Linked DNA regions of Arabidopsis thaliana. The protein of the gene in region 1 interacts with the protein of each later gene in a pairwise test. Each region holds a gene or a part of one and is shown on either strand. Other genes may lie near its edges. The genes, in order: SDG14 and AT1G20910.

The links.
Region 2: the proteins of SDG14 (region 1) and AT1G20910 interact in a two-hybrid assay, tested with the Arabidopsis thaliana proteins (one large-scale study listed by BioGRID).

The regions. Positions count from the first base shown.
Region 1 is NC_003074.8:22,845,965-22,862,923, reverse strand, and holds SDG14 (SET domain protein 14), read left to right. Parts: upstream 1-5,951; 5' UTR 5,952-6,375; coding exon 6,376-7,101; intron 7,102-7,184; coding exon 7,185-7,240; intron 7,241-7,324; coding exon 7,325-7,493; intron 7,494-7,762; coding exon 7,763-7,882; intron 7,883-7,954; coding exon 7,955-8,023; intron 8,024-8,112; coding exon 8,113-8,181; intron 8,182-8,273; coding exon 8,274-8,365; intron 8,366-8,501; coding exon 8,502-8,594; intron 8,595-8,796; coding exon 8,797-8,932; intron 8,933-9,039; coding exon 9,040-9,112; intron 9,113-9,198; coding exon 9,199-9,298; intron 9,299-9,389; coding exon 9,390-9,514; intron 9,515-9,702; coding exon 9,703-9,848; intron 9,849-9,947; coding exon 9,948-10,052; intron 10,053-10,194; coding exon 10,195-10,259; intron 10,260-10,340; coding exon 10,341-10,566; intron 10,567-10,673; coding exon of another isoform or gene 10,674-10,676; coding exon 10,677-10,916; intron 10,917-10,999; coding exon 11,000-11,089; intron 11,090-11,184; coding exon 11,185-11,271; and 8 more. Other genes in the region: DL1B (DYNAMIN-like 1B), read left to right, coding at 1-57, 184-274, 503-567, 759-953, 1,039-1,158, 1,260-1,330, 1,411-1,687, 1,782-2,150 and 1 more; AT3G61750 (Cytochrome b561/ferric reductase transmembrane with DOMON related domain-containing protein), read left to right, coding at 3,670-3,876, 3,954-4,353, 4,438-5,027; RMF (reduced male fertility), read left to right, coding at 12,449-12,708, 13,112-13,311, 13,390-13,434, 13,568-13,732, 13,808-13,855, 13,954-14,124, 14,217-14,324, 14,415-14,497; AT3G61723 (PHD finger protein), read left to right, coding at 16,138-16,215, 16,313-16,456. UniProt on the Arabidopsis thaliana protein: Histone methyltransferase.
Region 2 is NC_003070.9:7,267,230-7,282,750, reverse strand, and holds AT1G20910 (ARID/BRIGHT DNA-binding domain-containing protein), read left to right. Parts: upstream 1-1,514; 5' UTR 1,515-1,772; intron 1,773-2,100; 5' UTR 2,101-2,115; coding exon 2,116-2,403; intron 2,404-2,536; coding exon 2,537-2,670; intron 2,671-2,755; coding exon 2,756-2,795; intron 2,796-3,164; coding exon 3,165-3,217; intron 3,218-3,313; coding exon 3,314-3,359; intron 3,360-3,617; coding exon 3,618-3,710; intron 3,711-4,152; coding exon 4,153-4,275; intron 4,276-4,430; coding exon 4,431-4,479; intron 4,480-4,556; coding exon 4,557-4,620; intron 4,621-4,790; coding exon 4,791-4,857; intron 4,858-4,968; coding exon 4,969-5,019; intron 5,020-5,261; coding exon 5,262-5,354; coding exon of another isoform or gene 5,355-5,432; exon of another isoform or gene 5,433-5,446; coding exon 5,447-5,542; 3' UTR 5,543-5,808; downstream 5,809-15,521. Other genes in the region: ESC (Putative AT-hook DNA-binding family protein), read right to left, coding at 8,792-9,727.

The DNA.
Region 1 (16,959 bases):
CAGCCTGAAAGCATTGTTCAAGACATCGAGAACATGGTCAGATCGTTTATTGAGAAGGTAACTATGATTTGAAAGAAATTACAAGTATGTAGCAGAATTCAATTGTGGAAAGATGATGCTACTATCCTCTAAAGGTCGTGTGTTCAAGCAAATAACAAAGATTGATCATTCACCTTTTGACAGCCCAACTGCATCATACTTGCTATTTCCCCTGCAAATCAGGATCTTGCAACATCTGATGCCATTAAGATCTCTCGTGAAGTTGATCCCAAAGGTGCCAGATTCTTCCTTTTTTATATTTTGATACAACTGCTTTCTGAATTCACTTTGAGCTTCTTTTTTGTGAGATATAAGCGACTAGGACATGGTAAATATGGTTTAAGTTCTATGGAGCATTGTATATATGATTGATTAGCATCATCAATGCTTAGATGATGATAGTATTTCGAATTGATTGATTCTTGTTGTTTAATGTTTGCTTCGCTGCACTTTATGCTATCAGGAGACAGGACTTTTGGAGTTTTAACAAAAATTGATCTCATGGACCAAGGCACTAATGCTGTTGATGTAAGTTTACATTCAGATGATAGTAATACATTCTACATATCATTAGTCAAGATTATCGTCTAATCTGCAAGCAATCTATCTCTAACTGCATTATGAAAGGACACAATGAAGATAAATATGAGAATCTCACTAAAGAATGGTTAGTGAATATTTAACAGTCCCTAAGTATTCTAAATGTTTGGAGATTTCAGATACTTGAAGGAAGGGGATACAAATTAAGGTATCCTTGGGTTGGTGTTGTAAACCGGTCTCAAGCTGACATTAATAAAAGTGTTGATATGATTGCTGCTCGTCGGCGTGAACGTGATTACTTCCAGACTAGCCCAGAGTACAGACATTTAACTGAAAGAATGGGTTCAGAGTATTTAGGAAAGATGCTCTCTAAGGTATATAATTGAGGAGCTTGGTATGTATGAAGATTTTAGCATAAAAGATTTTGTAGTTGCTCTAAAACCAGCTATAACTTTTCAGCATTTGGAAGTTGTTATCAAGTCTAGAATCCCGGGACTTCAGTCTCTTATCACAAAGACAATTTCCGAGTTAGAGACAGAGCTAAGCCGTCTTGGGAAGCCTGTAGCAGCTGATGCTGGTGTAAGGATCTTCTGTCTTAAGGACCTTTTAGCCTTTCATTCTTCGGTTTCTTGTCTCATTTCACATCCCTCCTTCGTTAATACTCATTCTCCTGAATGCAGGGAAAACTTTATATGATCATGGAAATTTGCCGTGCCTTTGATCAAACTTTTAAAGAACACCTGGATGGCACGTAAGTCATCCGCATGTTTCTGGATTGTTGCTAATTCAATTTTCTAGCTTTATAATTGATAACCACTAACAACCTTACAGGCGTTCAGGTGGTGAAAAGATAAATTCTGTGTTCGACAATCAATTCCCAGCTGCCATTAAAAGACTGCAATTCGACAAACATCTCTCCATGGACAATGTACGGAAACTGATCACTGAAGCAGATGGATATCAACCTCATCTCATAGCTCCTGAACAAGGTTATCGCCGGCTCATAGAATCATGCTTAGTCTCCATTAGAGGCCCTGCTGAAGCAGCTGTTGATGCGGTTCATTCCATTCTCAAGGATCTTATCCACAAATCCATGGGCGAAACATCTGTAAGAATATCTCTGCTCAAAGTCATAAACCCAACAACAACAATAACACTTATGAGTTTTGAAGCATGATTATGTGTTTTCATCATGACTACAGGAACTGAAGCAATATCCAACACTCAGAGTAGAAGTATCAGGTGCAGCCGTGGATTCATTGGATCGAATGAGAGACGAAAGCAGGAAAGCAACTCTGTTACTAGTGGACATGGAGTCTGGTTACTTAACGGTCGAGTTCTTCAGGAAACTCCCGCAAGATTCTGAAAAAGGTGGGAATCCGACACATTCGATATTCGACAGATACAACGATGCTTATCTCCGAAGAATCGGCTCAAATGTGTTGTCATATGTGAACATGGTCTGCGCTGGCTTGAGAAACTCCATACCGAAATCCATTGTTTACTGTCAAGTCCGTGAAGCAAAACGAAGCCTTCTAGACATCTTCTTCACCGAACTTGGCCAGAAAGAGGTAACAATAAAGATATACTAAAAAACCTATATGAGCAAATTGACAATTGTATAAGATACGAGTAAGAATGTTAAAATGGTTTGGTGTTAAAAATTATAGATGAGCAAATTGTCGAAATTGTTGGATGAGGATCCTGCGGTTCAGCAGCGAAGGACTTCGATTGCGAAGAGGCTGGAATTGTATAGAAGTGCTCAAACGGATATTGAAGCAGTTGCTTGGTCCAAGTAGAGAGACGAGACCCTCTCTTCACACTCCATTTTTTGTTTCTTTAGGATACGTTTCCTTCTACATTTTTTTGTCTCTTTTTTTTTTCCATTTGTCATTGTATTCGGTGTTCGAGTTATCATTGTTTCTGAATAAAAGTTTTTGTAAGACGATGGTTGGCGCAGTAGAATATGGTTGACCAAATTATTTTTCAAAAAATAAATAGATTTCATGGACTGAAGAAACATATGACGTGATCTCCTCTCTGTTTTAAACCACCGGAAAGAGAGAACAAAAGGAGCAAGCAAACAGAAGAAGAAGAGCAAACAGAAGAAGAAGAGCAAACTAAAATTAAAAAAATCAACAAAATTGGAGATGCGGGGAATCGAACCCCGTGCCTCTCGCATGCGAAGCGAGCGCTCTACCATATGAGCTACATCCCCATATTGGCTAACTTATTATGTTAATCCCTTTTATTATGTTAAAGTTGAATAATTTTGAATTATGATATCGATTACATAAAACGCTTAGTCGTTGACTGATACCGATCCCGCCATGCGTAATAGTAATACTGTTTAAATTGTTTTACATTACCATTTTGCAATTGCAACACAATACCTTTTTTCTCATTTGAGTTTGTGTTTTACAACGAACAAATGAAATTGTTTGTTTGTGTGATTGGTACTCATGGAAGCTGTAAAGCTGTACTCATTGGTTAATTTATTATTGTTTACTTTGTTTCCAAGTTCCCTTCCAATATCTCCTCCAAGAAAAGAAAAGATGATGTTGATCGTGGCACTATCCTGACCAAATATACCTAATGAGTAATGATTCAGACTAAGACTGATCCACTTCCCACTATGGTCCAGTTTACGACCCCACTCTCTCGCTCCCATCTCTGTCTTCTTCTTCTTTTTTTCCCTAAATAAGCAAAGTAAAAAACTCCAGATTGTCCATATCTTAAAAATCTATTCGTAATTTCTCAACCTCAAATAGCAATTGCCAATTGTTTTAACTGGCAAAGAAAAAGCAATAATTTCATAGCATCTTGGTATTTTTCTGTCGGTTCACGTGTCGATTTAGTGACAGAGGGGACATAAATTGTCCGATACTTAACCAGTGAAACATCAACTCCAAGTATCTTTCTCAAAATCCAACCGGAGCTGATTTAAAACAATTTGATGATTATGATTGATCTCCATCTCCAACCACTTTCACCACCAAACTCAATCACTCTTCTTCTTCTTCAAGTAACCATCACCCAAAAAGCTTCCATTGTTCCTCGCTCCTTCTCGTCTCTGTTTCGATTCCAACCATGAAAACTTTGGTCGGATTTTACATCCTCTGTTTCTTAATCGGACAAGATCTGCCTTTCTTAGCTGCAGATGACGTCAATGTCATAAACGATTCGACCCAGAATCTCTGTTTTGCAAACCGATTATCCGATTTCCTCCCTCCACCGTACAGCAATATCTCCGATAACATGCCCTGTACTCCTCTTTGGAACACGTTCGTCTTACGGGTAAACCGAAAAACATAAACCAACTTTTCCTAAAACCCATAATTTTGATTTTCAACGCTGCTTGCTCTGTTTTGCAGTACTCAGAAAACAGAGACAATGTGATGACGATTATAGTATCGGCTTTATACACAACCGGGTGGGTTGGGATTGGATTCTCGAAAGAAGGAAGAATGGTTGGATCAAGCGCGATGATCGGATGGATTTCGAAAAAGGGTCACGCCAAAATCAAACAATACTATCTCCAAGGAACGGAGAGAGACCAAGTTGTGCCGGATCAAGGAGAATTGCAACTACAAAAAGTCCCGCCGGTGGTGGCTCTTCACGGAGCAATGATTTACTTAGCTTTCCAGGTGAAATTCGCCGTTAGAGTTCCTCGGAGAGCTGTCATTCTAGCGTTTAGCACTGCTTATCCTTCCAAGCTAGGCCGTTTGACTAAGCATGATGATAAAACTACAGTCATCGTCGATTTTTCCAAAGGTAATATAATGTATATACTAGTCTAATCTATACATGTTAAAAACAGGGGAGAGTTCAATAGTTGTATGTTCTTGGTCAATGCAGCTAGTGGAGCAACCTCCATAAAGACGACAACTTCTACGGAGAAGACAAAACATGGAGTAATGGCGATACTCGGATGGGGTTTCTTACTTCCTGTAGGGGCAATCCTAGCAAGATATCTAAGACATAAAGACCCTCTTTGGTACTATCTTCATATCGGTTTTCAGTTCACGGGCTTTATCTTCGGTTTAGCCGCAGTTATTCTTGGGATTCAGCTTTACAATAGGATCCAGCCGGATATACCTGCGCATCGAGGCATTGGGATCTTTCTTCTAGTCCTTAGCACTCTTCAGGTTTTGGCTTTCTTTGCACGGCCACAGAAGGAGACAAAGATGAGGAGATATTGGAATTGGTATCATCATTGGATTGGGAGGATCTCTCTCTTTTTTGGAGCAGTGAACATTGTTCTTGGAATTCGAATGGCGGATAATGGAGGAGATGGATGGAAAATTGGATATGGATTTGTTCTGTCAGTCACGTTACTTGCTTTTGTTGTTCTTGAAATATTCAGGATTCGTGGCACTATCGGCTCACCATCTTCTCGCAGCCCTCCCTCTTTTGAGACACATCCAAGTTCTAGTACTAGTGTTTGATTCAAGATCTTCTGTTTTTTTTTTCTTGTACATAAAGGTACTTTTTTTGTTTTCCCCATAATCATTGGTCACTGATTTTATAGTCCATATGTGTTGTAATTTTTTTTTTTTTTTTTTGGTTCGGCAATATGATTTTCAAGTGGAAATCGGTCTTGGTTTAGACTTTAGAGCAACATGGTGATATTTGTTTTTTTAAGGTTTGTTTCTTTTTGGATCTCAATTTGTTGTCATGTAAGTTGAGTTTTGAAGGTTGTTGTTCCTGGAAAGTGAAATATACGTAATTCTTTAATTCCTTATGAGTTTGTAAATGTGCATAGACGTCCCTAGACCCTAAGGCTAACATTATGGAGCGATTAACAAAAATATGGTCCTTTTGTATGCAAATGCAATCTCTCATCTTTCATATAAATCATGAACGTATAATTGGATGATAAGTTTTGAGTCTTATTTGAAATGAAAAAAGGATCATCTTCCTCCATTGTCTGGTAATGTCAAAATGTTGTTGCATGAGAAACATACAGTGTTCATATTGGGCCTAACTCGAAGTTGTTTCTTTTATTAATTGTCAAAATGTTCCACGAGAAACATCGTAGGCCCAATATGTAGCCCAACAAGCTTCGATTTTTCTAAATAAGTTGTGTGACAAGAAGAAAAACGAGAGAGTTATTTATTGATGCGCCACGTCAGATTTGATGAAAAGGAAGATTTCGACTTGGCGCTCTCGTACGCCTGAAAATTCGCAGTCTTCCCTCGTCCCCAATCCCTGGAGCCAAACACTGTTCCATTCAACCGCCACGTCAGCATATTCGTTTTTTTTATTTTCGTTTTTATTATTTGTTTAGGCGAATTAATTTCAGAATTAACCATAAAATAATAATAAGGAGAAATATATAAACCGACGACGGACGGTGTGTGTCTCCTTCATCAGAACACAAAGATCCTTCTCCTCCTCTTTTGTTTTCCCTTGCCGTCGATTTTAAGGTTTTATCTTCTCCGTACTGAAACCGACTGATAATTTTCTCCAGGGAATCTACGAGGAGGATTTGTTGTTTCTCCGTCGTTTTAGAGTTTAACGATTTCTCCGTCGTTTGATTTCTTAATTCTATCCTGTTGAGGGAAACGAGAATTTGGTTTTCGTTTTCGAATTTAGGGTTAGAGAAGCGGTTTCGCATTGGGTTCGTTGACTATTGAGCCAATTTGCGAGAGGAATTTAAACGTTACGAGTTTCTTCTTTTTCCTTCCGGAGGTCCGAAGTGCGAAATCTGTTTTGTTTGATGAAATTAGGGTTTTGGAATCGGAATTTGGATAGTCGTTTATGTTGAATAGGCGAGGATTGCTTAGGTAGGATATGATTTTGAAACGGACCTTGACGACATTCGAGAATCAGAATCTGAAGCGGTGCAAAATTGATTCAGAAATTGAGTATGGGAGGAAAAAGGGTGAGATTATAGTGTATAAGAAGAGACAAAGAGCAACCGTGGATCAACCATGTAGCAAAGAACCAGAACTTCTTACTAGTAGCTCAAGCTCCTTGACAAGCAAAGAAGAATCTCAACAAGTTTGCTCTGACCAGTCCAAGTCTTCGCGTGGCAGAGTTCGAGCGGTTCCTTCTAGGTTCAAGGACTCCATTGTTGGTACATGGAAATCTAGCCGTCGCAAGGGAGAGTCGACGGAGTCTAGTCATGATGACGACGACGTATCTCTGGGGAAGAAGGTCAAAGGTTTCAGTGGAAGCTCGAAATTGCATCGCAGCAAAGACTCGAAGGTGTTTCCACGTAAGGATAACGGAGACAGCAGTGAAGTAGATTGCGATTACTGGGATGTTCAAATTTCCTACGACGATGCTAACTTTGGTATGCCGAAAAAGTCCGACGCCTCGCGTAAGGGCGTGTACAAACCAGAGGAATTTACGGTTGGCGATCTTGTGTGGGCCAAGTGTGGGAAAAGATTCCCAGCATGGCCGGCTGTGGTGATCGATCCGATATCACAAGCGCCTGATGGGGTCTTGAAACATTGCGTCCCTGGCGCAATTTGTGTCATGTTTTTTGGGTACTCCAAGGATGGAACTCAGAGGGTAATCTCTTTAATCCTAATCTGTCTTCAAGCTGGCGTTTATTTTTACTATCTTTTTTTCTGAAAACTTGTGGTCATTAACAGGACTATGCATGGGTAAGACAAGGGATGGTGTATCCATTTACGGAATTTATGGACAAGTAAGTACATGAGACGCTCTTTCTGGAAATCTTTCATACTTGTGTGTTTGTTTCTTGTTCCTTACTAGTCTTTCATCTCTTCAGATTTCAGGATCAGACAAACTTGTTCAATTACAAGGCAAGTGAATTTAACAAGGCACTAGAGGAAGCAGTTTTAGCAGAAAATGGTAATTTTGGAGATGCTGAAATCATCTCCCCAGATTCCTCTGCGACGGAATCCGACCAGGACTATGGACCTGCTTCTAGATTTCAGGCACGTTTTCTTGACACATATTCCTTTTCTTTTTTTTGGTTAGATGTTCAAGTTTGCTCTTCTAATTGTTTTGGGAAGACAAAAGTAAATCAATTCTGGACAGTTCTATAAGCATCTTGTAGTGTCTACGTCTGGTGATATACTTTCTGTTCTAAGTCATGAAGTTTAAACATACTACATAGGCGTAGATGTACTGTTTGTATCTGACTCTTTTATAGTTACTGGAAATACCTTCCCCTAAACGATTTGCTGATTTAATTATTGTGTAGGGTTCATATCATGAGGACATAAGGACATGCGACGGTTGTGGCTCAGTAATGCCATTAAAATCTCTAAAAAGGACTAAAGACTCACAACCGGAAGAGCTTTTATGCAAACACTGCTCAAAGGTTCTTATCAAAACTTCCTCCCTCTTCAGTTTTCTTTGATCGACGGGAATTGAATCCAAATTTTTGTTTCAGTTGCGGAAATCCAATCAGTATTGTGGCATCTGCAAGAGAATATGGCACCCTTCAGATGATGGAGATTGGGTGAGAATATCTGTGACCATGTTTGGTGAAATACTGACCTGAGTAAGAAATTATAATATCTATATAGCTGACTTGATTTGATGTATTAGGTTTGTTGTGATGGGTGTGACGTATGGGTACATGCTGAATGCGACAACATTACGAATGAACGCTTTAAGGTGCCGTTATACATCGCCGTGCATCTTATCTTTTGATTTTAAGTATTGAAGACTATTGTCGAATGACTGTTCTAATTTGGTTTCATCTTAAGGAACTGGAGCACAACAATTACTATTGCCCTGATTGTAAAGTCCAACACGAGCTTACGCCAACAATATTAGAAGAACAGAACTCAGTGTTTAAGTATGTTGTTAACATCTCATGTTCTCTCACTTTAGTCTTCTCGAAAAAAATATCTTCTCCTGCTTTTATTATTTGCATTGTTCTATTGCTAATTCTTTAATTTGCAAAATTCCTCTTCACAACCTCTTTGGGACAGGTCTACAGAAAAGACAACAGAGACTGGGCTGCCTGATGCGATTACTGTAGTCTGTAATGGCATGGAAGGGACATATATCAGAAAATTTCATGCGTAAGTATTAGATGCATCATCTTTATTTCAATTTCCTCATTTGAGCAGGATTTTGTTTGTCCATGACTGTACAATGCAATGCCGTAAGATGATTTTTTCTCTGAAGACGACAATTCTGCGCTTGATCCTAGGCTTCTGTTACCATTCTCTTGTTGTTCCAGAGATTAAAACAACACATTTATCTTGGAACTATTGTTTTCAGAATTGAGTGCAAGTGTGGTTCATGTGGGTCAAGGAAGCAGTCACCAAGTGAATGGGAACGGCATACAGGCTGCAGAGCCAAAAAGTGGAAGTATAGTGTAAGAGTGAAAGACACAATGCTACCTCTAGAAAAATGGGTACATCCCTTATGCTTAACTCTCTCATAAACTTTCCCTTATATACCCCTGAAATTTACATGCATGATGTCTATAAGAAGTATAATACTGACAACAAGATATTACAGATTGCAGAATTCAGTACCTATACTCTAGAAACCCAGATGTTGGATAAGCAAAAGATGCTCTCTTTGCTAGAAGGTAGAGTATATCTTAATTCTTGGCGTCCTTCTTTTGGAGTTTAAAATTGCTAAGATACTTGCTTACTACTTATTTTATATGCACAGAAAAGTATGAGCCAGTCAGGGCTAAGTGGACGACTGAAAGGTGTGCTGTATGCAGATGGGTAGAAGACTGGGAAGAAAATAAAATGATCATCTGTAACAGGTTACTTTAATGGCATAATTTGGTTATACTGAATTCTACAGCGTTCTTATAACTAAACATGAGTCATAAATCTGACCAAATCTGTAAGCAGGTGTCAAGTGGCTGTGCACCAAGAATGTTATGGGGTAAGCAAATCTCAGGACCTCACTTCCTGGGTATGCAGAGCATGTGAAACACCAGACATTGAGAGAGATTGTTGTCTTTGTCCTGTAAAAGGTACTACTGCAGAATTAGCTCTCTTTATGATTTTTTTCCTGATCTTGCATTAGTGATGTTTTATTCTTGACTGTCCTGTCACAAGGTTCCATACAGTCATTCTGAGAATTCGCTTTTGGGTAGATGTGCTCTAAATTGAACTCACTTTCCATATTTCTAGTTCTTTCCTGAACTCTTCCATTATGTAGGTGGTGCTTTAAAACCAAGCGACGTTGAGGGTTTGTGGGTTCATGTAACATGTGCTTGGTTCCGACCGGAAGTTGGGTTTTTGAATCATGAAAATATGGAGCCTGCTGTTGGACTTTTCAAAATTCCAGCAAATTCATTTCTTAAGGTATAAATGAATGCTAGAAGTGGAAAGTATAACCAACATGTTCTATTAGAAGTTTTATTATATTATACATCATTCATATTTTCTGAAAATTCCTTTTAGGTTTGCACAATTTGTAAGCAGACACATGGTTCCTGCGTTCATTGCTGCAAGTGTGCAACTCACTTCCACGCAATGTGTGCATCACGGGCAGGTTACAACATGGAGGTTAGTCAAGTCCTTAAACTGCTTAGCCTCTGTGCTTATGATAATCTTCATTTTTCACGTTAAACCCCTTGCAAAGGTGTTCTGTCCTGTTAGTTAATCATCTTAGGGATGTGTAAGTGATGTTTTTGTCTATGGAATTTAGTTGCACTGCCTGGAAAAAAATGGTGTGCAGAGAACCAGGAAGTCAGTTTACTGTTCATTTCACAGGTTTGTTTCTCCGACATATTCTTTAACTGACCTGTTATGTGATACTGGGACCAACTGATCGCCTGTATCATTACTATGTAGAAAGCCAGATCCAGATAGTGTTGTAGTTGTGCACACACCCTCAGGAGTATTTGGCTCTAGAAATTTGCTTCAGAATCAATATGGGCGCGCCAAAGGTTCAAGACTCGTTTTGACCAAGAAGATGAAGCTTCCAGGTTTCCAAACCCAAACCCAAGCTGAACAGAGTCGTGTATTTGATTCTCTTTCTGCAGCAAGATGCCGTATCTATAGTAGATCAAACACAAAGGTATGCATCTGGGGATCTTGTTTATTCTTGGACGTTGGAGAGTCTTTCGTTATTAACTATTCCCTAGCAAAGCTACTACTTCATATCTTTTACTGCTGACGTTTCAGAAGATTGATCTGGAGGCTATATCCCACAGGCTTAAGGGACCAAGCCATCATTCTTTGAGTGCAATCGAGAATCTAAACTCTTTTAAGGCAAGTTTCTCATTCCGAGCTCCATTCATGTCAGTGTTTTGCTTTCTTGGGGCAACGTTTTCTGAATATCTTAGGAAGATCTTAATTTCCATTTACCTTGTTACACACCAGGAAGCAGATTTTACATCATTCAGAGAACGGCTAAAACATTTGCAGGTAAACATTGATTCATGAAGAGTTAATATTTTCTCCATCTTGTTATCCTAGAATATTTATAAACAATATATTATCTTCTTCAGAGGACAGAAAATTTTCGAGTCTGCTTTGGTAAATCTGGCATACATGGATGGGGTTTGTTTGCAAGGAAAAGTATTCAAGAAGGAGAAATGGTATTTAGTTTACGTTGTATTATTCGTGGTTTTGATATGGCTAAATTGAAATTCTTGAGGCAAACTAACTACTGATTATTAAAATTCTTGTGCAGATCATCGAGTATCGTGGGGTGAAAGTTAGGAGAAGTGTTGCAGATCTGAGAGAGGCAAACTATCGTTCGCAGGGCAAAGATTGTTACGTAAGTTCCGATTGCTTGCTTGCTTAGATTAAAACATTAACCGCTGCATCTAATAAGTAACTTATTGTCTAACAACAACAACGCAGCTATTCAAGATAAGCGAAGAGATAGTAATTGATGCCACAGACTCTGGGAACATCGCACGATTGATCAATCATTCAGTAAGTTCCCTAAATTGGCACACGAGATCAAAACCTGGTAATTAATACTAAGGATGTTTATGTCTTGTGCAGTGTATGCCCAATTGCTATGCTCGTATAGTGAGTATGGGTGATGGAGAAGACAACAGAATCGTCCTCATTGCAAAAACCAATGTCGCAGCTGGGGAAGAGCTTACGTAAAACATTTCTTCAGCTTCTCTTTTCATAAGATATAGATTAAATCCATATGCATTATTAACCTTGATCATGAAAACCTATTTCTCTACAGGTATGATTATCTCTTTGAGGTTGATGAATCTGAAGAGATCAAAGTGCCCTGCCTTTGTAAAGCTCCAAACTGCCGCAAATTCATGAACTAGAGCTCTCTTAAGTCTAAACCATTCTTGCAAACGTTCAAACTTGCTTTCTAATTGAACAGTAATGGCGGTGGGAAGCTAACCGATTTGTTTCCTCGGCGGCTAGCTTACGGGAAATCCCTTGACATGATGCTGGCTTCTTTCCGATTGATTCATTAAATGTACATTCAGCTAGATACTTTTCCGGCGTAGCAATTTTGTAAATGTCTAGAATTCACCGACTCTAAGAAAATAACTTCACAGCCAACAACCTAAAGTTCCAAAATGTTGAAGTGTTAATATAGCTTTTAACATTTTCCATAATACAGTTTCTGAATTTTCTATTAAAAAAAATCCATACTATCTTGATTTTTCATAATCATGGAAACCACACTCACTGGGACCCTCTCGGTTAATGCTACGTCTGTTGGTGCTAAACCGGGTTCTAACTAAAATTGAAAAGTATTTTAAAAATTTTAAAATCTACAGAGGTAGAAAGTTTGTTACAGGGGTATATACGTCATTTGACATTCGAAATTTTCAAATTCGCTGTGTCTCCCTCGCGGCTATATATCACAGCTACACGGTTCAGAGCAAAAACCAAATTCTGAAACAATTTTCCGCTTAACAAATTAGCGACTAGTGAGATACTGAGTGAGAAGAGAGATAGAGAGAGAGAGAATGAAGACGAGATCTAGTGATGCCGAAGGAGATAGTAGAGGGAAGATGATAGCTCCGGTGGGAGAAGGAAATGGTGGACGGAAGAGAAAATTGGTGCAGAGCAACGAACAGAAGAACGATATTCAGAGAGAAGAAGATGGTAGAGCTAAGAGAAGAATCGTTCAGAGCAGCGACCAGAAGAACGGGAAGATCCTCAGAGGAATTCGTGGCTGTGTATCTCCACGGTGCTCTGCTCAGACTTACCAGTCTCGCTTTTCATGGTATTTTCTTCTCCCCTATGAACGAAATAGATCTATTCTCAGATATTATTTGTGTGTGTGAGTTTGGGTTGAGCTCGAATTTGATTTTGAAATGTTTGTACGGCGTTTAATCTTACTGTATTGGATGGATCTAGGAGATAGAGTTCGATCAATCATCTTCGGTACCTTCTGGAATCAATTTGATTTGTATGAGATTCAGATGCTTATATCGATCTCTGATCGTGACTGTGTGGTTGCTGAAACCTGGGATTTGAGTTTTTCTTCATATTATTCCGCTTTCAATCGTCAAAAACTGAATCCAGATTCAAACGAGGAAGAATTTTGAAAATCACATCGCTATATCACGTTTCTTAGATCTAAGTCTCTATATCAGCGTATCTTATAATTTTCTCTGCAAAATCAGGTATGAGCAAGATATATGGACATACATTTCAAGGTTTTTGGATGGTAAATCACTGGTGAAGCTGGGAGCAACAAACAAATGGTTCTATAAGATCGCAATGGAGGATACTGTTTGGAGGTTTGCCTGCTTGCGTGATCTTCAGGTCCCTGTGCCGTTTCCCGTTTCTTCCACCTGGATTAAGATTTATGCTTCAGCTTTTGGTAAGTTTCACATCCATTTCGGACTTATGATACATTCTTCTACAATGGTAAACTAAGAAAAGATATGGAAAACTGCAGATGGGAGTCACTCTTACTTGTTCCGTCAGAAGGAGAAGCATATTGGTTAGTCCTTGAATTGGATCCATCATACTCTCTTCTTAGTCATGTTAAGATGTTGTACAGATCTTTGACTTTGAAGTACTTCATTTGCTGATCACAGCCTCATTTTGATCTCGTTTTGACACTGTCATTATAGATTGGATGCGGATAGGTGCCTTTGTTCTTGACTCTCGAACTTCACTCCTGACTGAGAGTTTGAGTGGTCGTCTGAAATTCCCAAGGGAAGGAACCATAGAACGGATGTTACAATCCAGTGGTTCATGTCTTATCAACGACATCAAAAGCGGTATTTGGATTGCAGGTAAGAACAATTTCTTTAGAAACTTTATCTACTGCAGAAAAAGAAAACTATAACATGGCTTATCTCATGTTCCAGATTTACAGCTTGTACGTTGCCCTGTTTGTGACCTCAGTACCTGTGATGGTAAAAGACACTAATCAACTTCTAGTCTGTTTCTATTGATGTTAGTCTATGAAATAACTAAATTGCAACTAAGAGAGTTTCTGTTTTACTATGTATAGGAACAATGCAAACTCTTGATGCTAGGCACATTGAACTCTTCCTTAGTGAAGGCTACAAAGATGGAAGCTGGGATTACAATCTGATCGGATCTCATAAGTTGCAGAAAAACGCAAGTGCAGCTTGTGGAGCCATATTTGACCTCAAACACCTTAAAGAATCTTCATATTCAGGTAACTTCAAATCTACATTACTTTTCTGTTCCTTTACTCCTCCTCTTTAGATCATTCTCCTTGGGTCTCATACATTTTCACATGAATAATAGGTATTCTCAACCTCAAGTCTTGGACCGGAGAGTCAAATGATTCCCAACCTAAAGCAGTTATCGCACCCCACGCTGTTGCTGTTCACACAAGACTGCAAGAAAACGAAGGTACATGTCCAAATCACTTTGCATAATCAACCATCTTTATCTAGCAAGTAAGAAACACAATTACAATTCTTTTACAAATCTAAATTGCAGGAATCCTTGTGAAGTACCACACAATGAAAGCAGGAACAGACGGTGACATTGTTTCCATCAGAATCTCCCAGCAACTTCTCTGATTCCTTCACAGTGCATTGTCTCAAAGTCACACAAAGCTTTAAGCATTTCTAGTATTCAAATCCTTTTCCTCTTCAGTAACATTTATTTGTCCCCAGAATATGTTGCAAGAATAATCTGACTGAATATTGAACTTATATACACAACACAAACCCAATGAATATTTAAGAAGCTTTAGTGTTGGACCATTCTATAACGAAATTAGACTATTTGCTGTTTGGCAAGATGATGACTTGCGCTTTATAATGAATGAGATGTAGGAAAAATGAGCTGGTTTGCCATGCGTCCATAGCATCCTCTAAGAAAGAAGACTCTGTTTTTGCTCTCTCAATTCTATTTACTCTGTTTTTGATCTAGCTCTGTTTCTCTTATTATCAAAATATCAAAAAAGCTGATGTAAAAAGTATATTTTTTCTTTTGAGTATAATTTGACATTTTATTCAAAAAAAAAAAAAATGAGCTGGTTTGATGTTCCGGTTCAATAATGGGAAGACAAAAAAGACGAGAAAAGCCAATTGTTCAACAAGCCATGGTTGCAACCATGGTTCAGGTTTAAAGAGAAACTCTATTAAGAATAGTCATAATAAGAAAACAGAACAAGGATATCAATGACAATGCACCGGTTTTAATGGTGGTTTTTAAGCTTCCATCGGGAGCTCTCCGCAGGCATAGATTCTGCAACCTTTCTCCTGGGATTCAAGTGTCCTCACAAGCTTCATACCTTCAATGACTTGTCCAAACACAATGCATGTTATCTAACCATGGAGTCTGCACAAAGAGTAAGAAAACCAAAATAACAAAGTTTACAGATGATGCCAAGGGTGTATGAATCTTTTACCTTTACGGTGAAAATGAAAAGTAGTCCTTTCTAGTATTCACCACGGGCGATGAAAAGAGCCATCAACTCATATAAATATTTGAATTTGAGCCAAAATTTAGTCTAAGCACATATTATTAGTTAGAACACTTAGTTTATCACTATAAAAGACATTCGTCAAAGCAGTTGCAACACCTAACTTTTGTTAGTCTAAATTTACAAATCTTTGTTTTGTATGAACATTTAATTATGGTTTCAATATAACCATTTTAATTGTTTTGTATTTAAATGCATCAATGCCAGTTTATATATTACAAGTTTTGTTCACATTAATTCTAGTTTATTATTTGAATTATTTTTTCTGGTAAGTTTAGGATTCTATAAATGTGTTTGGCAATTGGTGTTAAAATAATCAGAATAGGTAATATCAGGAAATATATGTGTTTGGCAAAATTTGGTGAGAATAAATGTGGGCTTACCACATTAGGCCTAAATTAATGAGCTTCAAACAAAATCTGAGGCCCACACAATTGGGCTTGAAATAATATGGGCCTCATATCCATTTATTTCTACTATCCTTTTTTCTCAACTTCTGCTCATTAATCTACTATGCATGGTTCAGACACTGTTCAAAGGTTCTTACCAAAATTTCCTCACTCTTCAGTTTTCTTTGGCCAAAAAGAGTTGAATCCAATTTTTTTTGTTTCAGTTGTGGAAATCCAATCAGTATTGTGGCATCTGCAAGAGTCTCTTTGACCATGCTCGGTGAAATACTGACCTGAGTTATAAACTATTACATCTACAATATGTAGCTGACGTGATTTGATGTATTACGTGTGTTGTGATGGGCGTAACGTATGGGTTCATGCTGGGTGCGACATCATTACGAATGAGCGCTTTAAGGTGCAGTTATACATCTCCGTGCTTCTTAACTTTTGATTCTAAGTAGTTAGGACAACTGCCGAATGACTGACAGTTGTAATTTGGTTATCGTTTTAAGGAACTGGAGCACAACAATTACTATTGCCCTGATTGTAAAGTCCTAGAGAGTCTCTTCCCAGATACAACACGCAGTGGTTGCACGCCTCTCTGGATCCGTAATGCCGCAGCCAAGCGAGGAAGTCGCGAGGACAGGTCTCGATGAGTCTACGATTGAGTCATACAAGAAAGTTGAGCTAGGGGAGAGTAGGAGACTCCCGACCGGGTCCAGTGATGTTGTATGTCCCATTTGTTTGTCGGAATACGCAACCAAAGAAACTGTTAGGTGTTTACCTGAATGTGAACATTGCTTCCATACCGAATGTATTGATGCGTGGCTCAAGTTGCATAGTTCTGCCCGGTTTGTCGGCGCGCGATTAATTGTTTTTAATAGTCTTGTAACGTTTGTATAGAATTTGGAATTTGGATCTCTCTATAATTGCATTAAATACTATGTCAAAACCAAACCCAAACCCAAACGCCAAGAGAAAAGTAAAAATGCCAATGAGAGAATTCGTAGATTTTCTTCGGCAGATTCTATGAAACCACGAAAATGGGAAAGTATTGCAAATTAATTTCATATAAACATTTTCATCGTTTTAAAGTTGTTAACAATTTTAGTTTACAAATAATAGCAGATTACATTGTTTCTATTAGGAAAGAAGATAT
Region 2 (15,521 bases), on another chromosome or scaffold:
CGATATAGAACATTCTAAAATCGTAATTATTATCCACCCAAACCCGTCCTACCATATAATCCAGTCCCGTGAAATTAAACATAATTTTGTCATTTTCTTATAAATTTCAATATTATAAAATTTGAAACTTAAAAAAATACAATATCGACCCAATTTTTAAGATTTTTCCTGTAATATATCATCTCGTATTAATATATTTTTTCTATATTTGTAATGTTTAAATTTCTTGTAAAATTCAATTTATAATTTTTAAAACTTTATAAGTTTTAAAATTATAAATATTTAAAGCATTTTTTAAAGATAAACTTTATAAAAAGTTTTTAAAATTATAATATTTAACATTTGATAAAGTTATAATATTTATAATTTTTTGAAACATTTTAAAGTTTTAATTCTTTAAAATAAAAAATCCGAGTAAAATCGGATAACTATTTTAATTTTGGACGCCTGATAAATCAAGCTTCATGCTCATTCATAATCAGAATCATTTTGGTCCTTTTATAATATGGGTCTGAACCATTGTCCAATTTTTCTAAGCGATGTTGGACATTGTACACATATTATTTCTTCATAGGTTGAATAATATATGTCCGTTTTAAAAAATTTGAATTACATCATATTCAGAAAAAAATATAATATTTTATTAACTATATATATTTTATATAAATTCAAAATAAATAAAGTATAAGATCAAATAAAATTGAAAGAAGAATTATATATTTATGTTTAAATTAGGTAGAAATATTTTAGGAAATTAGTTAAGGTAAATAAGAAATATGGTTAGTTTAGAGATATTGTTTATATTAAATTTGGTAATTAAATCATTAATTTTCGTTTTTAATTATTAGTTTTTAGGTAACTTTTCCAAAAACTAATGTTATCCAAGATCAGAACTGAATTAAACATGTTATCCAGGATCTGAACAGAGTTAAGCCGAGTAAAACCCACCCATTTGAATTAATTGTTGAATTATGGCTCAAATCTTCAACATTATCTTCAAAAATCCCCTCCAAACATGTATATATAGATATTTCCATTATGATATAGTTTTCACATCTTAACTCCAAATCATGAAACCTAAATTTTATTTCCAAGTCTCAACATCATATATTTTAATTATCATCTTGAACTTCTTGTTAAAAATATAAAATTAATTCATAAACTTTTCTATAAACCTAAGTTTTTTAATATTTTTTGTATCGTATTTATACTAATTTCGATCTTCTTTGTTTCCTCCGTAATCGTTGTCGTAATTTCGTAAACCTAAATTTCATATAGCTCCTTTCTTCTATGTATATATGTTTTGTACAATGTTTCATATATATAATAACACCCTTTGGCAAAAAAAAAAAAAAAACTTTTTCAATGTTTATCTTTCGTGGTTATTACATATAGTAGAAATCCCAACATTCAACAACAATAAAAGGTTACAAATCCTATATTTACCAAAAATTAAGAAAGTCTAAAAAGACTAATAGATACAAAAAGAAGAAAAGAAATTGTTTACTTTTTGAGTGTAAAACAAATTAAAGTTAAAAACCACATAACATCCCCCATCCCATCTTTTTTACTAATACCTTCCTCCATTAACATAAGATTGTCTCTCCTCTTTCGAATTGTCTCTCCTTTTTCAGCTCTCTCTCTGTATCTCCTTCTTCTTCTTCTTCCTCCAGCTTCTTTCAATTTCTCCGGCTGCTAAACCCTAGCGCGCCGTCGGAGTCCCTGCGTTCTCATACCAACCTTTACTCGCCGTCGCCGTCGCTGCAGAACTGGTAAGCATATGTTTTTTTTTGCTGCTCTCTGTATTCTATGGAAGCTGAAAGGTCTTCTCGGCTTGTTTATCTGTGGTAGTTTTGATTAGGATGAGGTTTTGTAGTAATAGAGTGAGTGAGTTTGCTCCAATTCTTAATTGCGTTTAGAGATAGAAGAGAGAGAGAGAGAGAAGCTATAGTTTCCAGGCGGAGAAGAAAGACAATTCCTTTTTGTTTAATCTGGAATCACCAATAGTTAGTTATATACAGTTTTTTTATCTTCTTCGTTTTTTTCTTCTGGATTTGTTCTTTTGTCCTTGTCTTGCTGTGACTGACTACTCCACAACAGAAATCGAAGCTTAAGATGGTGGATACCGAAATGCAAGAGCAAGATGTGACTTTTGGTGCCCTTGTTGAGACAAAGTATTTAGAGGAAGAACCTTTGGAGCCAGAAAATGATCACAACCCTAGTGAAATCCCGCAGCCCCTTCTTCTTGGAGATGGTCAGGCTAATAATGGTCATGGCATGAATGGTGGTGCTGTTGGAGTTGTTGACCACTCTGAAAGGAAGACTCGTAGGGTGCAAATGTTGAGTCCTAAGACTGAAGGTGAGAATGCCAAAAAGAGGAAGACTTGGCTGCTGGATTCTGAGGTACTAGGCTATGTTTCTTTCAATTTGGCTCAAAAAGCCTGTGTCTTTTTGTTTTCTCAGGATTGGATTTCACTGTTTTGTGGTCGAAAATTATGTGGTGATTGTTCACTTACTGGTTCACCTTTCTCTACAGGCACAGGGAACTGATGAAGCAGGGACACCGGTAGAACAAGTGGCGTTTCTAAGAGAAGTGGAGGCCTTTTACAAAGAGAGTTTCCTGGAATTTAAACCTCCTAAGTTTTATGGACAGCCTTTAAACATTCTCAAGTGAGTTGTTGGAAAAGTGGTGCTTTTGTTCTTAATAAACCCATATATCTGGTTAATCAGTGCCTCACTTTTGCATCCAATGTAGGCTTTGGCGAGCAGTCGTGAACCTAGGTGGCTATGAAGTGGTAATTATCCAAAACCATATCGTTTTTAGTTCGTCAGTTTATAAGTCTTGGTTATTTAAGTTGGCCCGTATGATTATCACCTACATTTTATTGTTTGAATTGTGGATGGCATATGAACTGTATATAGGGTATAACTATTGAATCCGTAAGCTAATTTATGATAAGAGTATCTATAACGATGTGGCTTTCAGAGAAGATTTATGACTTTAAGCGAACATATCAAACATTAAAGAATGTTCGATATTTTCTTGGGAAACTGATTTATTTTACTGTTGTTAGCTATATTTGGAATTATATATTCAATGTTTTCTTAATCTTCTGCTGGACTTATGGTCTTTAAGATTCCTTTGTTTTTTCATGGTAATGTAGGTCACCACAAATAAGCTGTGGCGGCAAGTTGGAGAATCCTTCAATCCTCCCAAGTATGGCTGATATTTTCCTTAGACTCTCCGTTAGTCTTTACCAATTTTTCATAATGCTAATCTTTTTCCACATTTGGTTAAACTATCTTTATTCAGGACATGCACAACAGTCTCCTACACATTCCGCAATTTCTATGAGAAGGTGAGTTTGTTTTTGTGCATAAGTATCGTATATTTATCCTGTCTTCATTTTTACTTATCCACTTCAGACAATTCTCCTTGTGCTTCTTCTTAGTATGGTGTGTTATAATAGTTAGTTTAATTCTTTGTCTTGCTGAGGTAGCTCTTTATTTTGGACTATTCTTTTGTCACTTCGAAGTTTGAATGCACTGCTTGTTTTCTTTCTATCTTATCATATAGATACAGGTACATATGATCTATATCTTTGCTTCAATTGCAGGCACTTTTGGAGTACGAAAAGTGTTTAAGGAATAATGGTGAGCTTAACCTTCCTGGTTCAACATTGATTCTGTCTTCCAGTGTCGAGAAAGAGGTATGAATTTCCCCTAAAAAAATGGCTTTTGGATTTTAGACACTACTGAATAATATATAGAAATAATGGTAGATATGGAAAGTTTGGATGAAGATCGATCTAGCACCGTAAAATTAATGAAGAGTATCTACTTGTCAATTTATTGTGGGAAGGTTTCATGTACTGTGATTAAATGTCGTTGATACTGAAGAAATGATAGCATAAGAGTTATTTTTCAGCATTTATGTAATACCAGCTAAACCTTTTAAACCCAACTATCTGCAATCTGACTGAAGAAAGCTGTAGCCATTTTGTGTTCGATACAAAAGCCATAAGAAATCCGTGTGCATAACCCAGTAAATTACCATATAAGTTGCAGAAAACCTAAACGAAAATTCATGTGCCTCCCTTTTTTTCCCTTCTCCATATTTTTTTCTTCCCTGATACAAGGACTTTGCTGTAGCCAAGTAGCCATCAAGGTTCAGGGTCAGGCAGGGCACGAAGAGATTCTGCAGCTCGTGCTATGCAAGGTTGGCATGCGCAGCGCCTTGTTGGATCTGGAGAGGTTACTGCGCCTGCTGTTAAGGTTTCACTTCAAATCTTACTGCACTTTGTGATTCCATTATGCAGAATTTTTTCATGCACCAAGGAATCTGACTCACATGTAGAAAGAAGAAGACTTTTTATTTCTTTTGTCGTTTTTTATTTCGGAAGTAAAATGATGTTCTCCTTTTGTTTCAGGATAAGGGCTTAATTTCCACCCCAAAGCACAAGAAACTCAAAAGCATTGGTACAAAATAGTTCTCAAGGCTTTGCTATTTTGTCAACGAGGGTTGCTTAACGTTATGTTTTAAACGGTTTTTTCAGGGCTGCAAAAACACAAACAACAAACTAGCATGGACCATGTTGTTACAAATGAAGCTGACAAACAGTTACGGAAAGCTGATCTCTCCTTCTTATTTGCAATTCTAAGATAGTTATATTAGTTTTTTGGTTCTTCTTTCAATGCCTCTTAGCAGTAATGAGATGAAAACGTAGCATTTTCTGGACCTGAACATATTACTATAGATTAACGTTAAGGTTTCCTTTTTGTCATGATAGGTTGGCTGCTGAGGTTGTTGATGTTGGACCCGTTGCTGACTGGGTGAAGATAAATGTCAAAGAATCTGTGAGTAACTTCTGCCAACGGCTAAAGAAACGCCAAAAACTTGCAAACTGGATGTTTGTTTCCAATATGGAATTCTTACCAAATCTGTTTTCCTTTTTCTTGAATTCACAGAAGGATTCCTTCGAGATATTTGCCTTGGTACCTGGACTTCTTCGCAAAGAGGTGAGCACTCCTTTGTAACCCTGTCTCTGAAGGCTACTTGATAAGTCCTTGTCTTTTAATTTTGTTTGAATGCATATTACTGTGACAATACAAAGCAAGCACAAAGCGATTTGGTAGGTTACCAAAGCAGATCCGTTGGCTTTAGTTTCATAGTCTCAGTACACAGTGTTGTAGGCAATAAGTATTTTCTGGTAAAATCAGTACATAGTTCCAATTACTGAACATACGTTGTCTTTTCTCAGGTTCGAATTCAATCAGATCCTGCGGGAAAGGTGGTTATAACAGGCCAGCCAGAGCAGCTTGACAATCCTTGGGGGATTACACCCTTCAAAAAGGTAAAACTTTCTTCTATATTCCAGATATGTCCATTAACTGAACTGATACAGAGACTGAGAACCTTCCTGTCATTTTGATATGTTTTCACCAGATTGTTGACTTATCAGCAAGAATTGATCCGCTTCACACATCCGCGGTCATGAGCATGCATGGACGGTTGTTCATACGAGTTCCGTTTGAGCAGTAATGGATTTCAAGAGAGCTGGTCAGTTGTTCGTGGTTTCTTCTAGGAATTCATATGTTTCAGAACCAAATTGTTAGGCGGCTGAAGCAGTTTTGTAACTGTGATTTGAATCTGAAGACTGAAGTTAGGAACATGCAACAAACATTTGATCTTACTGTAATATTTCTCTTTTGTATAATTTGAGATTAGTAGGAGAAACTGCTCCAAAGACATTTAGGATGCAACCAACAATGATGATTTTGATCTAAAATCGGAATGTTATGCTTTTCTTATACATATTTTTTTAATAGAGATGAATAGATTTGCCTATCCCATCTACTAGTTCTACTTCCAATAGTATACTTTTAGGTTCTCATGCGTTTCGGTTTTCAAAAGTTCTCCTGAGATGATTTGTTTTCAAAAAGTGAAAGTGAAAGTATGCATATATTGGTGGTGCATATTATTAAAGGGAAAACGAAAACAGCAAAAAACTTATTGACATTTCCCTGAATCTAAAAAGTTCATGATCGGGAATATATGATTTAGAAAAGAAAAAAAGGTTCATTACTTGTTTATATATATATATATATATGTATCATCAATTCATGACGAAAATTTAAGGTTCAAAAGTTTTGAAGCTCACTCTAGTTTTTGAGTCATCAGAAAATACTGCAGTATTAAGACAAGAAACATTATTCTCAACTTGTTTTCTTTCTCTTTAATCATGCAAAAAGGTTCACACTTCACAGTGATCAAAAAAGGTTTTTTATTGCTGATTCTCAACTTGGTGTAGCTCAATTGCATGTAAGGCACATGACATGACCGCATGGGAATTTGATAATATTTACAACTACAATGCTCTTTCTCCAAGCCCCCAAAAAAAAGTCATATGATTCCAAGTATATGTATTGATTCTAATTTATATTTTATATATTTTGGCAAAGCTAAAACGTTTTTTACTAAGAGACATCTGATCACTATAATATTTAGCTAAGAACTGTAGATTGTGACTTGTGAAATTAATCTGCAATTTGTTCCATGATATCAGTTGTAAAAAAAAAACAAATCATCCTAAAATAGTTAGAACTAATTCAATCAATAATAATCATACATCTAAGTTATAACATATTCATCAAAATTTTAGTAGCTTTACAACCCCAACTATGTATTGCCATATGCCCATATTGCACCTATAGCTGAATAGGCGTAACAAAGCTACCTGAAAGTAGTTAACTATAATTCGTTTTAGTATGTTGGTATCATTTAAATAACTTTAAAACTTTCTCATGAAAAATAAAAAAATATTACTACTTGCTTAAGCTTCCTTTTGTTCCTAGTCAATAAATATGTCCCTAGGGAATTGGAACATTCCTCTTTTTCACATATCTTGGTAATCAAAACCCCATTTTTTGTTATGTTGTGACAGAGACTAGCTCTTAACTGACACTACAAATGATTTATGTTCATTGTTAATCTTACCATGTTAAGTTCACTAATTTGTATGTAACCGACGTACGTGAGATAATCTCTACTTCATGTTTCTACTGTGCTCTGTAACGGTTGTCTTTAACCAATATACATTGACTAAAATCCCAAAAAACAATACTATGCTCTAAAAATGGTTAAAGATTAGATGAATAAATGGAAAATAATAAAGATGTAGTATGAGATATGAAATAAATAAAAGTAATCCCCTCGTTATATATTTTGCATAATAGCAGAAGCATATTCTTCTATGAATGAATTTGTTTACTTTTCAGTGGGATGTTAGATAATGATTCCATTCTATTTAACGAATATGATTAGTTTTAGCAGAATATAGAATTTCACTCTTTATCTCTCTAGTTAGACAAGTATCCCCAATATCATTTACTCGTTCTTTTTATCAATATATATATATATATATATAAAAACTCATATTTTGTAGTGACGAAGAAACACGAAAATAGTAATATATAAACCGGTATAAAACCATATTCCATATATATATTTAAATTGTTGGGACAGAAATATATATAGATTGAGAAAGAGCAGAATATGTATTTGAAGTGTTGGTTGAGAGTTGAGACAAATTCTCCATACCAGCCAAAATTAAGGGGTTGGAAATCTCAAACCAAAAACTACGATTATAACATAAATGGTACTGTGCATATGTGACCTATAAATATTAGCTTAAAGCTACGTACTTGTTGCCAACCTGTCTTTGAATAATGTTGGATACAACTATTTTACAGGATCGACGGTTAATTAACTGAAGCATTAATGCATATTTTATGCATGTAATTAAGTAACTGTAGTGATCGAATGAAAAAGGTCATAACATGGCCACTAGGTATACATGTAGTATTTTTAAAACACTAGAAACTGTATGAACGCTAAATAGTTTAAAAATTGCCCATGTTGTTTTCCTAGATGGTAAGACTCGAGATCGCTTAGACGGCCCTGTCGTAATTAAATAGCCAATTACACCAATCAATGGAATTTTCAACTGTAAGTACAAACGGCTAAAAAGACGTTCTAATCAGGCAAGTGGTTAACTACAAAATTTAGAACGATGCACGTTTTGATCAATATGTAAGCATATTCTTAACACCTTATATATAGATGGGTATATATGACAGTACTCTTAACACAATAACACCGTATAGATAGATAGATATGACACAGAAGTTGTGATCTTAAAAGGTATACTCGGCTAAAAGACGCTACAAGTACTCAAATGGTACGAATAATGAATTTAGATGCACAAAACGTATATATTGATCAATATGTATAATAATTTTCTAACCTTATAATGAATACTACATTGAGGTTGTTAAAAAGTTGAAAGAACTATATTATACTATGATTAAGGTAACGTATTGACGTATTGTAAAAATATTCAAATGAGCGCCTGAGATGTGCCCACATAATATTTCATCAAGAATACGCCGTGAAGCTCAAAATTCTTAAAAGAACAAACGAACTCATTATTGAATAGTCTAGACCTATATATCTATCAAATCGAGCTAATTATAATAATAGTTATAGGGTACAACACGAAACCCTAGCTATGAATAAAAGAAAGCCATATATGGAAAGGAATTTTCTAACATAACGAGACACATGCATTTCTCTAACATGTAACATCTACCGAAGATATGAGAAGAAAAGAAATAAACACGAGAAACCAAAATATGCATATCAACTAAACATTAAACACCAAATATCCCAAAGGAAAGACGACTCCACAAGATGATAAAAACACATAAATTTCCGGACATTAAAATTCAATTAAAAAGGTGGTCTTGAAGGTGTTCCAGCTCCCCATCCAAGCAAATGAGGATCACCAGAAAACCCATAACCACCCACATTACCTCCTAACTGTCCCTGACCGGTCACTCCAGACGGCGGAGATGCTGATGGAGCTTGTTGCATCTGCGGTGGCCCTCCTCCTCCTCCTCCTCCGCCACCACCACCTTCTTCTTCCTCCTCCTCAATCGGTAGTCTCTCGAAAACCGCATTTGAGAACGAAGCCGCCATTAGTATAACCGGAGCTGATGCAATAAGGGGAGCCACAACGCTTCCTCCGACCACCTGACCTTGCCCTCCGGCTAAAAATATAGACAAACCACCGGCACCAGGCGGTGCAGGAGGTGGCAAAACAGTCCCCGTTAGCGAAAGAATCTCAAACCTTCCATGTAAAGTCACAACTCCTCCTCCTCCGGACACACCACCGCCATTTCCAGGAGTGACTGGCTGACGGAGAGTGACGTTAGATACGGTGCCGTTTCCTCCTAAAACGGAGACGCCTCTCCCTCTCCTCCTAGCGTACGTGGAAACACTCTCAACTATGTCAGCTCCAGGAGATACTTCAAGAACGTGAGATCTAAGCGCGTTGGGGCTATCACGAGTTACTATGATCGGTGGCTTGGCTTTGTTCTTAGATCCTGGTGGACGTCCACGTGGACGTTTTCCCGGTGCTGAGCTTGATGTATTCGGGTCTGAATCGGGTCGACCCTGTTGATGATGATCTTTGTTTGAATGGTCAGATTCTCTTGAATCATCCGACGGTTGTTGTTGTTGTTGATGTTGCTGGTGCTGATGATGATGCTGGTCGATAAGATTGATCCCGCCCTGCGGTTGAAGCTGTTGGTGGTGAATCTCCGGTCTAAAGAGGTTATGGAAGTATCTAGAAGCTCCACCGCCTTGCTCGTAACCGCCTTCCATCGCCGCCGCATCTACTAATTCCCTATCCCACCACTGCTTATTCGCCAGCTCAAATCAATTTCTCGATTCTTGATCCTGCTCGTTCATATATTGGTAGCTAGGTGAAGAAGAGCGTAAAGAGAGAAAAAGAAAACTCAGATCGAGAAGTCAAAACTCATGATTTTGAGGAAACAATAGCTAAAGCATTAAGGTGTGATCGGTTACGCAAGCCGACAAAATATAGAAACAGACCAAGAACAGAACTAAATTAAAGACGAAGCAAAAGATATAAAAAAGGTGACTTATGTTAAATGATCTCTCTCATGAAAGGTAAGAGGAAACCCTAGTTAGGTAGATTAATTAGGGCAAGAGAAAGAAGTAGCTTCTTCTTTGCATAGGAGTCGTATTTAGCGATTCTGATGTGCTATGGGAAAAAAAGGAGAGAGAAGCTTGAGATTCATGTGCGACTCTGCAATAAATTTTTGGTCCTCTCATTGAACGAGGAAAGTAAAAGCAAAGACATACACCGAGAATTTAGCGGAGAAACAGTCCCCTTTATTATATCATTAATATAATAATTATTATTTGAATAATATGTTCTTTTTTAAGTAAATTAATACTATTTATTACATATACACAAATGCCGACAAAAAAATTTATGTGTGTAAGTGGTTATCCTTACATAAGATCTACCAAAGAAAACTAGGGGTTCGTCGCAGTTTTTGTTTGGCTCCAATCGGATAATACAAAAGAAATTTAGAGAAGGAATTCTTATATTTGAAAGCATGAGATAAGATTAACAGAAGAGATAACATTTGGTCAATTTGTTTATCAGATACTATTATATACGAGCTAAAGAAAACGTATCATTTAACAAAAAAAAAAAAAAAAAAAAAATGTCAAGTGGAAGTTGGGTACACAAGGATTAAAACGAATCCTACATTCCCTTTAAGGCGCGTGGAGGTTATGTTTAAACAAAAGTTATTTGATAAATGTTATTATCATGTTACTAACTTATTTATGGTTTTAGTAACTTAATTAAAAGGTTTTCGTATAAGTAAAAATGAGAAATAGTACTATTTAGTCTTCTCTTACTTGAGAAAATACTACTATAGGTCATTTTATTTAGAATTTTAATTTACTTACGCATCTTTTTATTGTAAAACTTAGTATAAACTTGCATTATTACTAGATATTTGTAGGCTTGTGATTTGCATAGTGCTGCTGATATATGTTATTATTCATATTCAAACTGGATGCAGAACGTGAGTTATATAGAAGAAGAAAAGAAAAAAAATTTACATGTATAGTATTATTATTAGTTTTGTCAACTAATTTTGTAAAAATATAATGTATAATAATTTAAAATAGATATATAGTATATGGCTTGCGAATACAATATTCTAAGAAGAACCCACGTTCTATAATAAACAAACGGATACGAACCATCTTTACTATAGAAAAAGAAGAAGAGAATTAGTCACTTTTAAGCGCTGCAGAACAACAATTGATTAATTCTGCTTGTGATGTGTTTTTTTTTTTTTTTGGTTGCTACTAAATTATCTTGCTAAACCCGAGCTAATTATATATCAAAGAATCAATGTTCTACTAAAGTACTTTATATTCACTTTTATTGTCAAGAGGGCATAAGGCGCATAACGTAGAACAATCAATCTAGGTAATGGTCCTTTGTTCTATACTGAGATAGTGAGATCTACCCATGTATACTCCTTTAAATATCGTAAAACGGAGTGGACCCTTTTTGATGATAAGTTTGGAGAAAGTTAATGATCCATTAATGTGATAAGACTAGCTGATAATTATCAAAATGTCAAATTAGTTGATACTACTACTTTATATTTTCAAAAATTATTGATAAGTACTCCACTTTGTTGCCTTATGTCGAATTTGGTGAATCACTAATTAGAACTACGCTTTTTCTAACATGGACAAAAAAATATACCAGAAAAAGACAACTAGACACTGATAATTTATTGATTTAGAATGAGTAATGTATTAGTAAAATTTTTTTTTGATATATCATCTTCATACAAATGATATCAAACTTTTAATTTACAAAAATTGTTTGGGAAACAAACGATAATCCTGAAAACACTTACCAATTGCATCAACCCATTCAAATAATTATTGACTTATTCATCTTAATTTATTGAACTGACTAAACTCGATCCGACCCATTAATGCATGACCTCATATCGGACCGTGACTGGTTGTCTTAATTTTTAACTGCACCCATATAGTAACACCTAAGCTCCCTCAACGTGGACGCATGTGGCCTGAACCATGGTGGGACCAATCTCAGTAGGAAAGTAGGAAGTGGATCGGAACCGTCCATCCTCATGGCATGTGGGACCCAGGAACCGTCGTTTTCATCGGCGTAACCTGGCGAGTCAGGGCTCGGTGCAATGTACTTGAACCGGACACGTTAGCTTGGTCCGCACGTGCACAGACAAAAGTCACGTGCGGTCAAAAGGTCAGAGCATGAAAGTGAAAGCCAAGCTGTGTGACCACGTGGAGGCGGTCGGATCATCGGTACTTGGTCAATACCTTATCCAATCACAGTACTCCTCCCGAATCTATCTAACTTACTTTCGCGTCTTTTGCCCGTATTTCTAATGCTTAAAAGCAAAAACGTACGTGAAGTCTTTTGTGTGCGGTATTTTAATCATAAACTGGTCCAATTTTTTTCTATCGATCGAAAACGGAATGTGTGGAACTATCAAGATACTTCGAAAATAAGTGAGATATGTTTTATTTGCCCCCAAAACAGAAAAGTGAGAGGTGTTTCATGTGATATATAATTTAATTTTAAGCCATAAAGAGAGAGAACTACACGTCATCCAAGTCTATAAATATGTGACTGTACCTAAGTTCTTATGACGCTGTCGCTACTCGTCTAGATCATGAACACATTTCTCTCACATTAATTAAAGATTATATATGTATTAATGAATTCAGACGTCCAGTTACTGTCGCGTGGAATTCAATGTTAGAGAACTCATTAGAGAAAACTAAGTTAAGTTCTTGGTATCCATAAGAGTTTATATATTTACCAAACATGGAATAAAAGCAGTTCTAAATTGTTCCGACAAACACGTAAACTGATCAAAACATATATATATTTTTTTTTTTTCCCAACGACCAAAATATCTCGTAAGGATGCAGTAGATATGTGAGGTTCGGAGGCACTAAAGAATATCAATTTGGTTTCGGTTCATAATTGATCCCTTGATGATCTTGTAGCTGTTATTGTTCTTCTTTTTATTGTGGCTAGCTATTGCTTCTTCAGCCTACGCCCCTACTCCATATATGTATCTCCCCAGTCTGCTCTCATGCGATCACGAAAGGGTATCTCTTTTAGGGAAATCCAACAACTGGTGAATAAAATGCTGGCTCTTTATATCTAGAAAAAAAAACATCAAACAAAAAGTAAAGGTCGTGAGACTAAATATCATACCCTCTTTAACAATAAATAATATGGGCAAAAAATTGTGATGATTTAGGGATACCGTACCCATCAATCAGTATGCTAATTTAACTTCTATATTTATGTTCTTTTGTTTTTTTTGCTTTCTTTTCTCATCAATCAAAATACCACGAGCCAGATGTATATAAGATATTAATGCCATCCTTAAAGTTTATACTTACATAGCGATTCTATTCTCTACAGCACCTTTAAATTTTGTTTTTATAGTTTTGAAAGTGTAAGCAATGAGTTCGCTGTATATAAAATGAAAAAAAAAATCTAGCTAGTCTTGAACTCTCAGTTCTCATTAATTTTATGTACGTTAGTTAAAAAGTATTGATTTATCAATTCGTGGCTTTTTTTAAACCAAGTAAAGAACATGTATTATAACGAGTTTCTAACTCAGCTAAGTTTGATTATATTTTCTCCAAAAACTCGAACATCAATCGGGTGAAGACTTTCCCCCTTCTATCAGGAATTCAGAATTTAATTTACTAAATATCATACTTTGGAAATATTATTCATTGATAGTTCATAGTTGATAATGAATATATGGATGCATAAAATCCTTAGATAAGAAAACAATCAACAAGTCTAATCGAGCTCTTTATATCAAATTATCAATCAAATCATACTTTTTAGTTTGTCGCACGGAATCTAACATGCCCCGCATGTTAGCTTTGTACAAGAAGAAATACGTAACGATGAGTTGCACATTATTAGAGTAAATTAAATTGCTTTAGTTAAAATATTTGGCAATGATCTTCTGATAAAGTGGATAGATGAAAACGCCCCTGATATTCTTTTCTATTTTTTCTATATTAAATCTTAAAATTGTGCCTCATTTGTTTTGGTAAAAAATAAATAAATTATTTTTATATCTTAAAAAAAACGATTTGATTCCATTGACCTACAGTATTGCGTATTGTATGTCGTATGATAATAAATCTACATTACTCGAAAAATAAATATGAGAATCTAAGTACCATGATATGATTAATGGTTTGTGATAACATTATCACTATGTTATCATTTGGATTCAAACCTAAATAAAATACGTGAACCTAACTAAGTATTCATCAATCTATTTATCTAACAATATAATGGACTGTAAATTTGTTCTACAGATCAATAATTACATGGTCATATCCTTAATCATAGCGTTTTGTGGCCATCTCTTCTATTTCTCTATATATTATTAAGCTATATATGAAGGTATAGTATATATATTTATAAATAACTCTTACGACTTTGACTTGACATTTGATTCTACATAGACAACTCTAATAGTATGAATTGAAACCAGTATTTTATTGCTCCTATCAACCTGGAGACCTTGGTTTCCCAAATATACCTATGTTACTATAAAAATAATATGTGTATAATAATATTTTTTACCTACGTAATGATGCTCACAAGTCACAAGTTTTTACAGGAACTAGTAAAAATCAATTTATTATCAGTGGTCTCCAGACTCTCCACTATATTTTTTTTTATAAACAAACTCAAAAGTAGTGTGATCAATCAGAAATTACGGGTCAACTTTTTCGATAATGCCCAATCCCATTCTCACATCTTTGGCGACTTGTGATCTACCACCACCCCATCCACCAATTTTTAAATTATTTTATAATAATAAAAAGCCGGAGAATAAAACAAAACCAAGTGTCTTTTCAAAACTAAATGCCTATTTATTGTTTTTTTCTAGTCAATTTGTGGAGAAAACCTATCAAACTAAAAGGTGTTAGAAAATATTGTTGGATTAAATATTATAATTTGTATATAGTAAACATTAAAAGGTGATTTTATTGACGTATAATAATCTAAAAACCAAAAATAAAGGTGATATATTGAATAGAATTTAACTATTTAGTAGGAAGGAAGCAACATGGGCAAATTGCCAATTTGGTTTATAAAGGAGCCCACATGTTTACCTTACTATTTTGGACTTTCTGAGTTAGTGTCGAAGGCCTTTGGGCCCATAAATGGACCCCACAAAAAGACAGGACAAAATATCCTTAGAACTCGCCACGTAGATATCTCGACGTGGAGATCTGACCACGTGTACAGTTTATGTCCTGATTTTCGCAAGAGTGACGTGGACGGGTCATGATCCGCTTATATTTTCACTTTGTCTACAAGCCAAGTATATTAAATTGGGCCTCAAATTAGCCCAATCAATATATCAGTACATTATTAATCAAAGGCCCAAGTCTCACGCTAGCGATCGTCGACAACGATTTTGAGTCTTTCTCCGAAGTCGCCGGAATCGTATTCGCCGATCCAATTGTCGCATAGAAACTGTCATCTCCGGCGAGAGACTGATCT